2 linked regions of the Zea mays genome follow. The protein of the gene in region 2 binds, or shares a complex with, the protein of the main gene of each other region. Links are inferred from orthologs where the notes say so. Each region holds a gene or a part of one and is shown on either strand. Other genes may lie near its edges.

Region 1 (8,088 bases), on a different chromosome or scaffold from region 2:
TCTGACTTAAAGAACACGAAATGTATTTAGTTTTTTTCTATACTGTTGCATCGATGTATACATGTTTAGAAGAACACGCCTTATGTCATGGGCTAATAAAAAAAAGTCGTTACACCTTATATACTATGGCGGAGGGAGTATATATATTTAATATTTGGTCTATTTCTTTTTTTTTCACAAACTATCTTGGACTCTGAGCAACCCACTTTCAGTCGGCTATCAGTGAGCAGTCCATTTCCATTCTCTCTAGTTCTCTTGTTATCATTTCGTTATAAATGTAACGTAACATCTCTTAGACTATCTCGCGTTCTCTATCACACTCCTTATTTTAAACTCCACTATATAAATAATATAGTATATATTGTAAAATACTAATGTTTTGCACCTGCCGTCATAGATATATTGTAGTTTCAAAAGGCAAGCCCAACATGGGAAAAAAAGGCATTCGTGGGCTCTCGCTTTTGGTCTACACCCACCTGGCCCCGGTAATCAGTCACACGTGCGTGCACGCGAACGGTGGACGCGGCGGAGGCACACGGACGGACAGCACAAGTATATAGGCACCGCAGCTGCTCGCTCTAGACCCCGGACCGCCAAGTAGTGAAGTCGGGCAGGCGTTGGTGGTGGCACGAGTCCCTAGCCAACTCCATCGCCGTCCATGCATGCCACGCAATGGCAATGCAGGCGGCGGACAGATGCCGATGCCGATGCTACAGCTGTACTAGTGTATGTAGAGCGCGGCGCGGCGAGCAGACACCGCGCGCTACTTCATCTGCACACGCATGCGCGTGCGCCACCGCTAGCTGGAAAGAACAAGAGCGCAAAGAGGCCTCTGTTCGCCGTGTGCGCCAACCGTATCGTTGCGCTTTGCTGTTGCTGTGCTACGGTGGCACGGGTCTCGAGTCAAGCATGTCAACTGGATGGGAATAGGGATGGCCTTTCACCTGTGTGTGCTGCTGCCGCAAAAGTGTGCAAGCTGCAAGAGACCATGCGTTGCGATTGGCGGCCGAGCTACATGTTTACGAACTACTACTAGTAGTAGTACTCATCAGAAAGTCAAGAGTAGTAGGATGCGGCGCGGCGAACGGACGGCGCAGCATCCTGCCCGGACGCGGCTCGGCTATGGTCATCTTCTTCTATCTATCACCATTCATCACTGCCAGTACAACGCTGGCGCTGAATACTGCTGGACAAGGAAGGCAAATCGAATCAGGGCACGGGCACGGGCACGGCCAGCCTACTGCTGCTCTACCTCGTGGTTCGCATACCTAGGACTTGAGACCCAGCCTGGACCTGAATGCCGAGTACTACTACTAACCATGGGCCCAGCAGAAGCAGAGTAAACAACACGGGGGAATTTTCAATGGTACAGTGATTGGCTCATATAGTGCCAGACATGCCGGATAATAGAAGAGCTCACTGCTCACCACAACGCCAGTGTGAGAGCACAAGGGTTTATTCTTCTCCATGATACATAGCCTCAACATCTCCAGGCTGCCCAATGCTCAGCACCAAACGCAGAATTAACAAACAAAGCTCCCAGCAACACGTTCTACAAAGAACCGTTCCCCAGCAGCTACTAAGCAACTCCCGCACCACATAGATAGAGCTACACCCTACTACTACTATTCACACACACAGGCGCGGGCGCAGCGGGGGAGAGTGGGCTTCAGCCTAAACCGTACCTCGAACTCGGCGGTGCCAGGACGGCGTCGAACGGCACCTCCACCCTTTCCTTCACGACACAACGCGCCCTGCCGTTCTCGACCACCATCGCTTTGCCGGGAGGGCACCGCAGAGGAGCGCGCCGCTCATCTCCGCCGCCCGCCGCCACCGCCTGCTTACCACCACCGCCACCGAACAGACCCGCAATGTCCAGCCTGGCGCCGCCGTTCCTCCACGTCACGGACTCGTATCCAGCGGCCTTCATGACACAGACGGCGCCCACCACCATGACCGCCGTTTTAGCCACCCATCCCATGAAGGCTCCGATGCCTCCTCCTCCTCCTCCTCCCCCTCCGCCTCCCGAGCCGCGTTTCGAGGCCCTGGTATCTCTGCTCTCACGCCCGTTCCTTCTCGCGTCGTCCTGCGCAGTCCCGTCGTCCTCGGAGTCTGGTTGAGTGTGCAGGCGCTTGGGCTTGGACATGTAGCTCAGAGGGTACAGGTCGTCGAGCGCGAACGAGTTGGTGACATGGTCCGAGTAAGGAGGCAGGACGAGGCTGTCGTCGCGCTCTATTCTCTCGCCAGCGAAGGCGGCAGCCTCGTGGATCACCTCGCAGTCCTGCCCTTTGTACTCTCTGAGCTTGGCAAGCAGGGACCTCCGGCTTCGGTCGATCTGGCTCAAGATGGTTTCCCGTTCGTATCTTTGTTGGTGCTGGAGATCCTGGCAGCGGCGTTTGTTAAGGTGTTAGCAGGTAGATGATGATTTTGAAACAGTCTCAACACAAGCATTGAATCAATAATCCACGCAATCATTAACAGTAACAGGAAACAACACACCCTCAACTACCACAGCCAGTAAGTAGCTCACCGGTGTGAGGTCACCAAAAGAAACCCACTGTCGGTGCGATAAACATAACATAACATAGCAAAATAAATGTGATGTGTTATAAATCTCATATAAACAATTGACTAACAAGCAACACTAGCAATGAAAGCCCGCGTTACAATGTTTATGCCCCTTTCTGCACATCATGCCCAAATTTCTGGCAAGAATGTTATCATCGTTAAGAAAAAAATCGAACCAGTATTTGTGAACGACAGGAGCTCAATGGATCCAATTACTCGCAAAAGACTGGGCAGAACATCCCTGAATGCCTAAATCTTTAATGCAAGTAATAAACGATAGATTTAGTCGCCAAGTGACAACAATCCCCTATCAGCAAGGGTCACCAAACCGGTTGATTAATCTGGCTAGCAGGCCGGCTAACCGGTAATCGGCACCGGGCGGTAATGCCAACACACCAGTTTTGGCTTTTGAATTTGGTAGAATTTATATATTTTGAAAACTTTTGATGCCATTTTTTGTATAAATACTATGGAATATTTGAATACTTTCTTCTGAAACCAAATTTCAAAATACACAACGGATTTCAAACTAAAAATCATGGAAGTTTTCGGGAAAAGAAAAAAAAAGAAAACCCGATATATTGGCTAGGATTACTGATTAGCCGCTCCCCAAAGATGATAAATCGATGTGTATGACTGATTAGCCGGCAGCCGAGTAGGGGCTAGGGTTTGGGGGGGGGGTTCTACTTTTCACTAGAAATCTTTTCAAATTACCAATGCTACATGCAATATGGGATAAAATACTTGTAATAATAGATAACTAGAACATTAGGTGCCATTCGGGCGCCCTATAATGATTTGAAGAAAAAGCTTTTGTCCTCACTAGATAGTCATAGTTATAAAAAATATTAAACAGTAATACTAAGATCTAACAAAAAAATGGTTCTTAAAGCCATTGTCATCAACCTAACTGCCCCTCAACCTAGATGTAACAAAACTTGATATGAAAGCTTGCTACGATGTGTGTGTGTGTGTGTCTGTGTGCGTGCAGCGTGCGTGCGTGTGCGTGCGTGCCGCGTGCGTGCGTGTGTGTGTTAGAGGCGGAAGGTTTATTGTATCTTCAATGTTATGTGTGAACTATAAAAGTGAGACATGTAATATATTTGAACCATGCCGTGTCATGTAATGCATTTGGACCACTAATTAAATGTTGTTATTGAACTTTTGATAACTATTTGAATACTTTCTGCTGAAACCAAATTTCAAAATACGCAATGGATTTCAAACTAAAAATAATCAAAGTTTCGGAAAAAAAAAACTGCTATATGGGCTGGATGGAACGAAGGCCCAACCGGCTAATCGGTTAAGATTGTTGATTAACCGCTCACCAAAACCGATAAATCGATGTGTGGGACTGATTAGTCGGCGGTCGAACAGGAGCTAGGGTTAGGGGGATTTTTTTTCTCTTTTCACTTGAAATCTTTTTAAATTACCACGGGTAAATGTTGTTATTGGACTTGTGATAACATTTGGGGCATTTTTTTGTTCAATTGTTGAGACCTAAACATGTTTTTATTTGCAAAAACAAGAGATTATGTTTTACCTGATGTGCTGTCGGTTTATCAGTTCTGGAACCGATTAATTGGTCATATCAGCCAATAAATCGATGTCAAATCGAGCGGATTCAATAAATGGTTTGAATTTGGATTTGGCCGGTTTTTACCGGTTTATGCCGATAAATCACGATTAATCGCTAATCGGTCCTGGTCGGTTTTTGAAGCCCCACCGATTTGGTGAACCCTGCCTACCAGTGGTAGGCACGGCAGGCAATTTCCCTCAGAAAAAAAAATGCATGCTCATGATCAACTCAAATTGGAGCAAATTTCACAGCTCGATACAGCTAGCAATGGAAATGTTTAGATAACTGCATGCCAACTCCTATCTGCTACTAGTAATGGCAGGCAATTTACATGCCTAAAAAACAGACTCATGAACTGGAGCAAACTGAAACATCCTATGAGCCAGCACACGGTTAGTCCACTAATGCCCTGCACCTGCATTTAGTATGCTCTTATCACTATGCCCTGTTTCGGTAGCATTAATTCATGATCAAAATATATTAGTTTCCAAATCCAAGCAGAAAAGGCACCAACAGATCGACCACGAGCTACTATAAAAAAATCCGTGAAAGCAAGGACTGGGTGGTTAGACAATCCACAGACCTGAAGGGCGGCGAGCTGCCGCTCGAGCGACTCGAGCGCGTCGCTGATGCCGACAAGGCTCTCCACCTCCTCCTCCTCATCCTCCTCTTCCTCGGCTCCCTCCTCATCGCCCTCCGCCGCGTCCAACCGCTTCGCTGCCTCCTCATCGTCCCGCCGCGGACCCGGCGCCCCCGCCGCGGCAGCGGCGCAGGCCGATATCCTGGTGCGGAGGTCCGAGGCGCGGGCGAGGACCAGGCCAATCTCCTCCCCGTCCATCTCCGCCGCCGCCGCCACCTCCGCGCTCCCCCGGCTGGGGTTGGTAAAAACAAAACCCTAGGAAAACCCCAGGCGCGCGACAGCGACGCGTGCGCTGTGGTGGTGGGTGGCCAACGCCGGCTTCGTCGCGGGGTGCACGCGGCCAGCTAGTGCCGTGTTCGTGGCTGTGGAGACGTCGAGGGCCGAGGCCGAGGCCGAGGCGTATCCGCTGCCGGTGGGGCCCACCGCCAGCGTTTGCTGTGTGCACCCGCGTTCTATGGGCTTGGGCCTGTTAACTATTGTAAGAGAAATTGGGCTGGCTGACTGACTTTTTTTTCTTTTGCACGGTGGCTCAATGCTGCCTGAGTAGCTTAGTGCCTGTCTTTTAATAATGTCTTTGTAGTAAGCTAGTTAGAGCTCTAACAAGATGCCTCAAAATAGTACTAAAGAATTAAAATACTATATTATTTAAAGTGTTTAGGACTACAAAACAAAATCCTAAATCATATATTTTAGAAAATAAATTGTATTATTAGAAAAAAAGGTCAAAGACAATATAGAAAACACGAACAGGTAACTAATCCGGGTTATAGTATATTTGGGACATGCAATTGTCTACCCTGTAATAATTTTTTGTATAAAGATATAAAATCAGGTATTGTTGAAGTATTTTGTAGAGTTGAGTCGTATATTTTAAGACATATTATTGATTTAAGGTACTGTTGCAGATGATCTTATGTGTGTTTTCTTTTGAGGAAAATGTGGTTAGGGTATGCTTGTTAGAGTTTCATTCCTTGATTCCTTGCTCCAGCCATTTGATCATCTCGTGAAATTACTTTTGTGGTGTACAATGCAATAATACAAACTTAGTTTATCTCTTTCATTTGTTGCTATATCTACAAGCTAAGCTCGATGTGTCATCTGTTTACAGCACACACACACGCAAATTAAGATGAAGAATGCCCGTGCCTAATGGACCATGTGCAATCATCATCATTATCATTAATCTAGAACCAAAATCTATCAAGTCATCCACACCCCACCACAACTACCAATCTTTCAACTAGTCACCGTACGAGGAATCATCTTCACGACGTACGTGCAGCTTATAGCTAGCTGAGGCTGAGGTGCGGGAAGGCGAGGTCCCTGGCCAACAGGTACCGGAAGCTCCGCCGGTGGGGCACCCACTCGACGACTGCCTTCGCGGCACCGGGCCCGTCTCCGCGGCGGCGGCATCGCTGCACCGCCGTCCGCAGCGTCTCCGGGAGGCACCGCTGCACGGCGTCGAGGAGGCGGTCCGCGGTGAGGCCGGCGTCCCGGGCGTAGGCGTCCAGCAGCCTGGGCAGCAGCACCCGGCGGTCGTCCTTCCGCACCCCCGCCGTGGCCCGGACGTACTCCTCCCGCGCCGCCTCCAGCTGCTGCGCCAGCCGCTTCGGGAAGTACACCCGTACCTGCACGCCACACGGACACACACACACAGCAGCGCAGGCATGAGCAATGAGCATCCTTCATTCCTGCTGTCGATCGAGACAGTGCGGGCTGGATCCGCCGCGCCGCCGGCGACGACTGGCGGGCGGACTGATCGACTCTGAACTGAACAACAGACAGTATATAATGATCATGATGCGCCGTCCGTCGAGTGCTTGGATTGGATCGATGACCAACAGCGTGGTATACGTAACAGACATATACCAAGGATACAAAAGTATAGGTGCTTTGCAAAAGCTCCTTTCATCATCATTGTGTTCGTACGTACATCCATCGATCCATCCGTCCAATCCATGCGACAGGCGACTGGTTTCCAGTGCGTCATGCAGCAGCTTCTACCACTTTCAGAAACATCTGGACATGACTACTCCATCTCCATGCATGCACTAGACTAGGTGATCGAGCTCAATCATGTCTGAGAGAGTTCCTAGGAACCAACAACACTGCCCAGCCATGGTTTCAAGGCTTTATGTTCTGTCAGCCATCTGTGCCCACTTTAATCTCTTTGCGTATAAAAACGTAGACACGCGGAGCTTTTGCGTGTTTGCATTGCACTTGCACCCAAAAAAGAAGAAGAAGAAGAAGAAAAGAGAGACAGGATCGCCGAAAGGGGTAGGGGCGTGCTGGTTGGTTGGTTTTCTCACCGCGGGATCGGAGTGGCTCCCGGAGCAGAGCGCAAAACGCAGAAGGGGCTCCGGCTGGCGGACGGCGAAGGCTCGCCACTCCTCGCCCCCGGCTCTGCTCGCCCGCCGGCTCGCCTTCGTCGTCGTCCTCGGGTAGCGCAGCAAAGCCCGCAGCCACTGCGCGCGCGATCGATGCACCGACCAACAAAAGCGACGGGTTAGCATAGCAACGCATTTTCGTGCTCCTCGCTGCGCACACGCACGTTCTTTGACCCCCAATGATGGTGTGGAGGATGCATGCGATGGTGGTGGATGGAGGAGGGCACTTACATGCCCGGAGGAGCAGTGCGCCGTGCACCCGAGAACCAGCCCCTGGATGGCCGCCGCGTTGATGGCGCGCCCCGCGATCTTGCACTCCGCCTGCACGGGAGTACCTGTGTCAGCCATTGTTGCCGGCCAGCTGCTGTTCATGACTCATCAGGAGGAACTGTACGTGGTTCGGCTTTACCTTGACAAGCAGTGATGTCGTCGTCTTCAGCTGGTTCTGCTGCGGGACTCCATACTTGAGGTACGCCTACGTGGTGGATCGATCATCAGCATCATTCAGTTGCAGAAACGGTCGAGCTCCATAGATGAAAATGAAGGTCGAGAACGTTACATGCATGACCAGCGCGTTGTGGACGTTGATCCAGAACGCGAGCTTCTCCCCGCCCGTCATCCGCCTCAGATCCACCGTCTCCAGCCGGTAGAGAATCAGCCTGAAAGAAAAAGAACCGCATCGCACATGCACCGATGGTCCATGAATGTCGTCGTCATGCACATGCACTACACGCCATGCATGCCTTGCCATGCCACCACTGGCCTGAAGCTCTGAGCACTGCAGCAGCATGCGATGCGACGAACAAGAACAACCGATGGTATGGTAACTAGTACAAAAAGGCTCAAAGCCTGCGGGGACGATATATTTTTACAGGCGGTTTCGGTTATCCACCGACTGTGTTATTTCTAGTGGC
Region 2 (7,052 bases):
TTACTTCTGCCTATATACATGAAAGAACCAAAGTTAAATAAAAGGGTTCATGTGATGCATCAATTAAAAAAATCATATAATTTCATTTACCTCCTCCTCCTCCTCTTCTTCCCATGATTCTTTTACATCATCTTCTTCAACATCTTCATCAGCCCACTGATTTTTAAGTGGCTCGGCTTTCACAACAGGCACAACTGGCTGGAATTCTTCAGAATCTGAAATGCAGTATAGATTAGTTTCCATAACACAGAAACAGAGCATATGAAGGTGCCATAAGAAACCAACACCAGAACTTGAAACCTAAATTCAATATAAACTAAGATAATTGCACAAGAGGAACCCTGAGGAGCCTGTCGCTGTATACTCGCCTCCTCTAATAGCAAGGTTGAAATAGGTGTAGGGACACTGGGAAATTAAGCGGGCATGAAAAGACGCCTAACACAGCAGTCAGGAGCCTATATGGGGGTAACTTTTTTTAATATCATGTTAATCCAATCAGAGATGAAGGTAGCTTCAAGTAACTAGCAGGTACAGATGCCAAAATCACTGTTAAAGTGTTAATGGATCTCACTATTCTTAGTTGACATTCTAAATTCGACATGTATATATATACAGGAGACGCATATGACTAGATATATCCATATTTCCAAAACCCTTGACCATGTCCCTATAACGGAACGGATATCACCACAGCTCACAAACAAATGACCTCGAATCAAAATCCTACAACATCGAGCGTGCCTAGGGTCCGCGAACTCCCTACTCTAGATTCGGAAACCGCCGTGGGACAGGGACGGGAACCATGACGGACCGCGCGTCGGAACACGAACTAGTCGTGACGGTGGAACACCGGCGCACAGATCGGCAGAGGCGAGGGAAGAGAGAGAGGCGCTCACCCCAGTCCTCCATCGTGGCTACTGACGATCTCTAGATCCAATCGCTTTGGGCGGTGTCGGCGGCAGGTACGCGACCGGCGGCGGCGGGCGCCCGGTGCGTGAGCGGCCGGGGTGGGTAGGGTTTCCGCGGCTCTGGCGGCGTCGCAGGAGGGGAGGGTGGAAGCTTCTCGAGGGTTGTGGAACGCGGAGGGGGGAGGGGAACCGAAAGGATGAGTCGAGTCGAGTGGCGCTCTGCTGTGCTGGCTGCCAGTTTGGCTTTTGCTCTGTGCCTCTGTCACGCGGTCGTGTGGTGCGTTCTCTTCATCTCATTGGGAGTTTGGGACGGCCACACGGAGGGTTTTTTTTTCCCTTCGCTATTTTCCCCATTATTTTGAAAAAATCCGATACGATGTCGAAATGGGCGATCGAAACAATTTGGGCAACTATTGACTCCGAGTACATTTTTCTTTTTTTTTGGGCCAAAGCGTGCTGCTCGGAATGCAGTTTCAGCTACGAATAAGGCCCCGGTTTGAGGGTCAATTTTAGTCTCATTTAGTCACTAAATTGCTAAATGATATGATTAAAATAGGAACTAAACTGTTTTAGTCTCTATTCCCTTAAGGGGTGACTAGGTGACTAAAAGTGATTAAACCATATAAATTCTACTTTTTATCTCTCATTTTATTTCAGTTGCACTAATTGCATGAGAATACTATGGGGTATTTTAGTCCTCTTATAATTCATTTAATGTGATTTGAATAGTTTTAGTCTCTAGAACTAAATAGGATAGAGACTAAACTTTAGTCTACTAACTAAACTTTAGTCTCTAAAATAAATGAACCAAACGGGCCTAAAGATAACAGTAGAATAAACAAAAAAGTATTACAGACTTCACATTTAGATCTTGTTTGTTGGGGCTTGAGCCGCTTCTCAACATGAAAAAAAGCTAGAAAATTAAACATAAAATAGTGTTTTAGTCTCCTACCTCATTCGTGAAGGCCTTTACCATTTTCCTCTATATCTCTTACCTCTCCAAACAACAATGTTCTCTATATCTCATTCTTTATACGTAAATATCTATATTAAAAATATATTTTATTTTGTTTTTTTAATTAAATGTATTATAGTTTTGTTAAATCTATTGTTTCAAATATTAGAACGAATAGAAGAGAGAAAAACTCTATATAGAGATGATGCAACAATGTTCTCTATATTTAGAGAACTGTTTAGAAGATGTTGCTGGAGACAAAAAAAAAAGAGAAATCTTCTCTAAAATTTAGAGTAGATGGCGCTTTAAAGACCTGCCGGATAGAGTCTAAGCAGTGACCTTGTCTGACGTAGTGATGTGGTAAGCAGTGATGCACTGCCGCCTTCATTAAGATCAATCGTTTCAGAGGATCTGACCCAGCAATAGTAACACCAAATTATCTATCAATAAAAACTACATGACAAATTTCGACCTCAGGAGCTCATCACTCAGCAACCTAACCAAGCTTTCTAGTACTGGAACGAGCCAGTGCTCACACTGTTTATTTACACACGCTGCCAAAAGAAAAGAAAAGAATGGGAATCGAGCTTACCGCTACTCGCCTACTCCTGCTGCAGCTGCACAAGCACAGCCGTTCTACCTACGACCTGAGGACTGCGCCTTCGGTGATCCTCCACCCTGCTGGCCTGGAGTAGGTCATCTCGTACCGGGCGGTGTACTTGGTGTCGTACGCGTCGTCGTTCTTAGGGTCGGTCACGTCGGTAAGCCGGCCCACCTCCTCGATCGTCGCCTCCACCGCTGCCCGCCGGCCGTCCACGGAGACGGTGATGCTGTCGATCGTCACGCCAGAGAGCGCGTACTCCCAGAACCAGCCGTGGCGCTCGATCTCTGCAGCTCGGTCCGCCCACACCTTCAGCATGTTGCCGCCGAGGACCTGCCGGAGAATGAATTGGAAACGACGTCATTGTACAGTGGCACTGGATTTTAGTCATACAAGGACAGGGGTTCAATAAGAAGCCACCACTCCACTATTTGAACGAGTGGTTGCTGCGTCAATCTCGAATGGCTAAAATTCTTCTTGAATGTAACTGCGTGGATTTGTTGGGGGCCTTCGCCTTCCGAAGGTCCTCAAAAACATGATTTAACAATGTTTCTGGAGTATGATACATGAACAGGTACCTTCGGACTTACGTCAAAACCACAGTGTGAAGAAGCACAAAGAATACGAAGGATGGCGCAGAGCCGAAGCTATGCGCAGGGGAGCTTCGGCGTGATAGCAGAAAATGAAACCGACTTAAAGGAGAAAAGACTATTTAGACCCCGATGGATTACTATAGAGTTATTAGCAAGTGTAAAGGGCATAAGTGTAATTTTACATGGGCTGCGTCTCGTGCCTATAAATAGATGAACAATGCTCCCGTACTGTTCACGCTGACTTGGCATTGGCTTTTGCATCACGCTTGTACTTTTACATTCTTTCAAGCCGAAGGTACATTTGTAATTTGTTATTATTTCTATTTTTCCATAATAATAAAATAGAAATGAGTTAATAATAATATTTAAGTGTTTATGTTATTTCTTATATTTTATATGAATCCTTCTTCATTATTTGTTGTGCTGATGAAGGTACGTCCTTCATAACCTTCGTCTGAAACTCATTATATCCCAACAGAAATAATGCTTCGAAGGACGAAGGACTTTAACGTTTAACAATTTTTGTGTTGCCTTTTTCTTAATTCATAGCATTTAAGGACAAGTCCCCAACATTGGCGGCTGAGTTGGTTAGGTGGTTTGAGTAGCACTCCTCAGGTCCTGGGTTCGACTCCCCGTGGGAGCGAATTTCAGGCTGTGGTTAAAAAAATCTTCTCGTCTGTCCCACGCCAAAGCACAGGTCTAAGGCTCAGCCCCGGTCGTGGTCGTTCTCACATGGGCTTCGATGCCGCTGTGTATGGGTGGGGCAGGGGTTCGGGGGTTTTCTCGACCTGTGTGAGAAGGTCTTTTTCTTAATACAATGCTCGGGGGCTGTCTTACCCCCGCAGGTCGAGTTTTCAAAGACCGCACAGCCAAAGTGCCTCTCAACTCTCCAGCAACATGTGTGTGTTGGGGATTGTTTGGGACAAACCAACAAAAGCGCTAGCCAGCTATAAAGATGGAAATTTTGGGACCTCACCTCTTGCAATGCCGTGACAGTGTGTTCTGGCCCCAAAGCCTTGGACTTGATGCTTTGCCACCTGCGAACAATGTCTTCAGCCAACTTCGCGTCCATCCTAGGGATTTCCAGTGGCTCTTCATCTGCCGCTGGACCTTCAACAAACAAAGATGGAAGGATTAATTTCCCTGGCCAGACGCACGTTTAACAAATAATACGGCTTCTATGAGCATTTTATGTGTGCACTTCTATGATGTGCATTACATATAGAAATAGGAAGTGTTATGGCCCTGGACACAATTTATGTGGAATATTTGCTACGCGGCTTTGTCAGGAGCATCAAGCAAAACCCAGTGACTTTGGAGAAAGTAATGCTATCTGATACAGGTTTACTCACCATCAATGGAGTCAACAACCGCCACAGACCCATACTCGCCCCTAAGAGCAGGAAGTGACTTGTTACGAGGCAAGCACTTGAGACCTAACACTGCAAATAGTGCAAGCAGTGTACCAGCAGAGATAATCTTCAAGGCGTCATTTCTGGAATCATGGATAGCGTCTCCAGCAACACTTCCTTGGGCGAGTTTTTCAAGAGATTTATCAAGATCATCACTTGGGATATCCTTGCCTGACATGTCTAGCTGTTCTGTCAATGGGAAAACCTTACTGAAAGCTTGAAGAGCACTTGATTTTACAGTACCAAGCGCAGCAGTAGCTTGAGCACCAAGTTTTGCTATAGCGGCAGCTGCAGCTAAATGGGAAGCACCACCGCCTTCCATCCTTTCTAAGTAGCTTAGAACTTTTGGGTCGTCGTAATAGTCTCCCAGTCTGAACTGCGTCCCTCGGGTATCTCTGCTCCTTGGGAATACCTCGGAGACAAGCCATGTCTCCAAGAGCTTGCACAGCCCTGGAAGAAGATCATTCTCTTCGTTCATGCTAGAGTTATTCACCACAAACTCGATATTTTTGGGGTCCCTATATGACGAGGACTCATTATCAATTCCAAGCCACATTCTGCAATTGCAAATATCCCCCACAAGTAACGAGCAGAGTGCCCTTTCTAATGCGAGGTCCATCTCGTTTTCATAAGGATATTGAGAACCTATATTGAACTTCTGAAGTTGTTCGAAGAGTTCATCTGCCATCATGATGAATTGTGGCCTTTTACTTGCAATTGCTTGAGCAATGTGGGCAAGTGCGACACTATAGATCTCAAACCATTCAGGTGGTATGCTATTCGGTGTTTTAGAGAAGAAATCCATCTGAGATATAAACAGAAAATGAGTGAAGACTTCTAAAAACTGTGTTCAAGTAAAATGGACAGACTACACACTACAGTATGTTGCTCATTAAACTTGGTAGACACAAACCTGCTCAGCTGATGTCATCTGCAAGAAAGCCTCATTCATGAAGGCCTCACGAGAAAATCCTCCTCCAACAGTAGCAATACCACCCCTGCCAACACTCCACAATATGTTTTTTGCACCTTGCAGACCTTCTTGGCGTTTATTTTTATGTTTTTCATCAGTAGGAAGAGCAAGAAGCTCCAATACACAACGAGGTGTAATCTCCTCCAAAGTTTCATCAATCTGTGCAAGCAGTTCAGGTGCAAGATTGCTTGCACCATCCTCCTAAAGTAAAATGTTTCCATTAGTAGTGCTTACCAAGATATCTCTAATCAAGACAGAACCTACAAAACCTTCACACGCTGATCTAATAACAAGTGAAAATAAACTGACAGCTAAAAATGCAGCAGACATTTTTTGTGCTAGCAGCTTGCAATAATGGGATGATAATTTTAAGAATAAGAGGAGAAAGAGAAAAAACTAGAGCATTTCATTATCTCTATACAGCAGTTCCTAATAGTTTCATACCAGATTGGTTTTACAGTGAAACAGTATTAATGGCTGTGCCATGATGTAGCCAATGGTTTCAGGCTTTTTATAACTGATACTGATGCAAGGCCTACTGAGATCTAAAGTGCAGTGAGAAGTACTATTGAACTAATGCTTACCCAAAGTGATTTTGTTTACCAAAGAAAACAAGTGGTAATCGGTATCAACAGCAAACAATTATATAAAACCTGGAGCATGTTCATCTACAAAATATGGTATGTACTGCACACATATTTCGCCCTAACAGTGAACATGTCACATTAAGATTAAAACAACTGTATGTACACAGCCACCTTAAGACATATTGGATCTGCAACCTTAAAGCAAGTTAGTTCACCTGCAGGAGCTTCAGTGCCCTCTCAAGCACCTCACAACAGCAGATTACATCTGGAGGGCTTGCTGCCATAGCATCCCTTGATATGTCCACATAAGCCAATGCCATTGCTAGCACCACATCCTGCTTGAACCGCTTAGGTGGACGGTCCTGAAGCAAGTGCTCTCCAGTTGCTAACACCAGTTGTGCCTCCCCAGCCTCCTGAAGCACACACAGCACACCTGGAACCTGCTTGGCAAGTTTCCGGAGAGAGGCAGCAACAAGTTACACGCCAGCGCTATTTACAGATTCTACAAGAAACAGATAGCATTGTTCGCACGTTTGCTGTCCCATAACCTCACCTTATCCCAGGCAACATCCATGGTGAGTGCCGCATCACGGTCCTCGGAAAGCGCACGGTCGTACTCGGTGCGCGAGCTCTGGTTTGTGAGAGTATCATGGGCAATCTGCAGCATTTGCCGTCGCCCAACAAGAGCTTCTGTGCTGTACCCATACTGAGGTGGCTTAGCTATCCGCGACTCGAACGCCCTCCGAATGCCATCGCCTAGGAAATGTGGCTCCGCACCAAGAATCTGAGCATATAGACACCCATCAGATCACTTCGCAAAATCAAGCATGCAAGATTGCAGGTTATTATGCTTATCCCAGCCATTGGAGTGCAACTCTCTACAGAAGATCGTCTATTCCGTATTAAATAAGGTGCGATGTAGGTTGCCAGATACGATGGATTTTTTGAAACCCAAATAACTAGTAACACTGGTATTAGTCCATCAGACATGGTGGAAAGCAGTGACAAATGCATTTTTTCATG

The links. Proteins that work in one complex are often made in the same cells at the same time.
Region 1: the proteins of Protein ACCUMULATION AND REPLICATION OF CHLOROPLASTS 6, chloroplastic-like (region 2) and Plastid division protein PDV2-like are in contact, whole or in part, in a crystal structure (PDB 5GTB), measured with the Arabidopsis thaliana proteins. The link is inferred for Zea mays from reciprocal best matches to the Arabidopsis thaliana genes ARC6 and PDV2. Residues at the interface, in NP_199063.1 of Arabidopsis thaliana: Trp686, Gln687, Lys690, Phe694, Arg710, Met711, Ile714, Trp715, Arg718, Glu721, Thr722, Leu725, Leu727, Tyr729, Tyr731, Glu753, Leu756, Glu758, Ala760, Leu762, Asp764, Val766, His767, Asn770, Ala772, Thr773, Asp774, Arg776, Tyr778, Thr780; in NP_028242.1 of Arabidopsis thaliana: Glu287, Arg288, Val289, Glu290, Ile291, Pro292, Phe293, Asp294, Ala298, Lys299, Arg300, Asp301, Val302, Thr303, Tyr304, Gly305, Tyr306, Gly307.

Annotation. Positions count from the first base shown.
Region 1 is NC_050102.1:3,025,221-3,033,308, forward strand, and holds Plastid division protein PDV2-like, read right to left. Parts: upstream 5,080-8,088; 5' UTR 4,986-5,079; coding exon 4,731-4,985; intron 2,384-4,730; coding exon 1,670-2,383; 3' UTR 1,362-1,669; downstream 1-1,361. Other genes in the region: uncharacterized protein LOC100382699, read right to left, coding at 6,077-6,415, 7,097-7,252, 7,406-7,495, 7,584-7,649, 7,734-7,833. UniProt on the Arabidopsis thaliana protein: Component of the plastid division machinery consisting in a binary fission accomplished by the simultaneous constriction of the FtsZ ring on the stromal side of the inner envelope membrane, and the ARC5/DRP5B ring on the cytosolic side of the outer envelope membrane.
Region 2 is NC_050099.1:246,973,337-246,980,388, forward strand, and holds the end of Protein ACCUMULATION AND REPLICATION OF CHLOROPLASTS 6, chloroplastic-like, read right to left. Parts: intron 6,814-7,052; coding exon 6,583-6,813; intron 6,470-6,582; coding exon 6,245-6,469; intron 5,644-6,244; coding exon 5,383-5,643; intron 5,275-5,382; coding exon 4,410-5,274; intron 4,168-4,409; coding exon 4,034-4,167; intron 2,798-4,033; coding exon 2,504-2,797; 3' UTR 2,217-2,503; downstream 1-2,216. Other genes in the region: uncharacterized protein LOC100283844, read right to left, coding at 91-215, 897-909. UniProt on the Arabidopsis thaliana protein: Component of the plastid division machinery consisting in a binary fission accomplished by the simultaneous constriction of the FtsZ ring on the stromal side of the inner envelope membrane, and the ARC5 ring on the cytosolic side of the outer envelope membrane.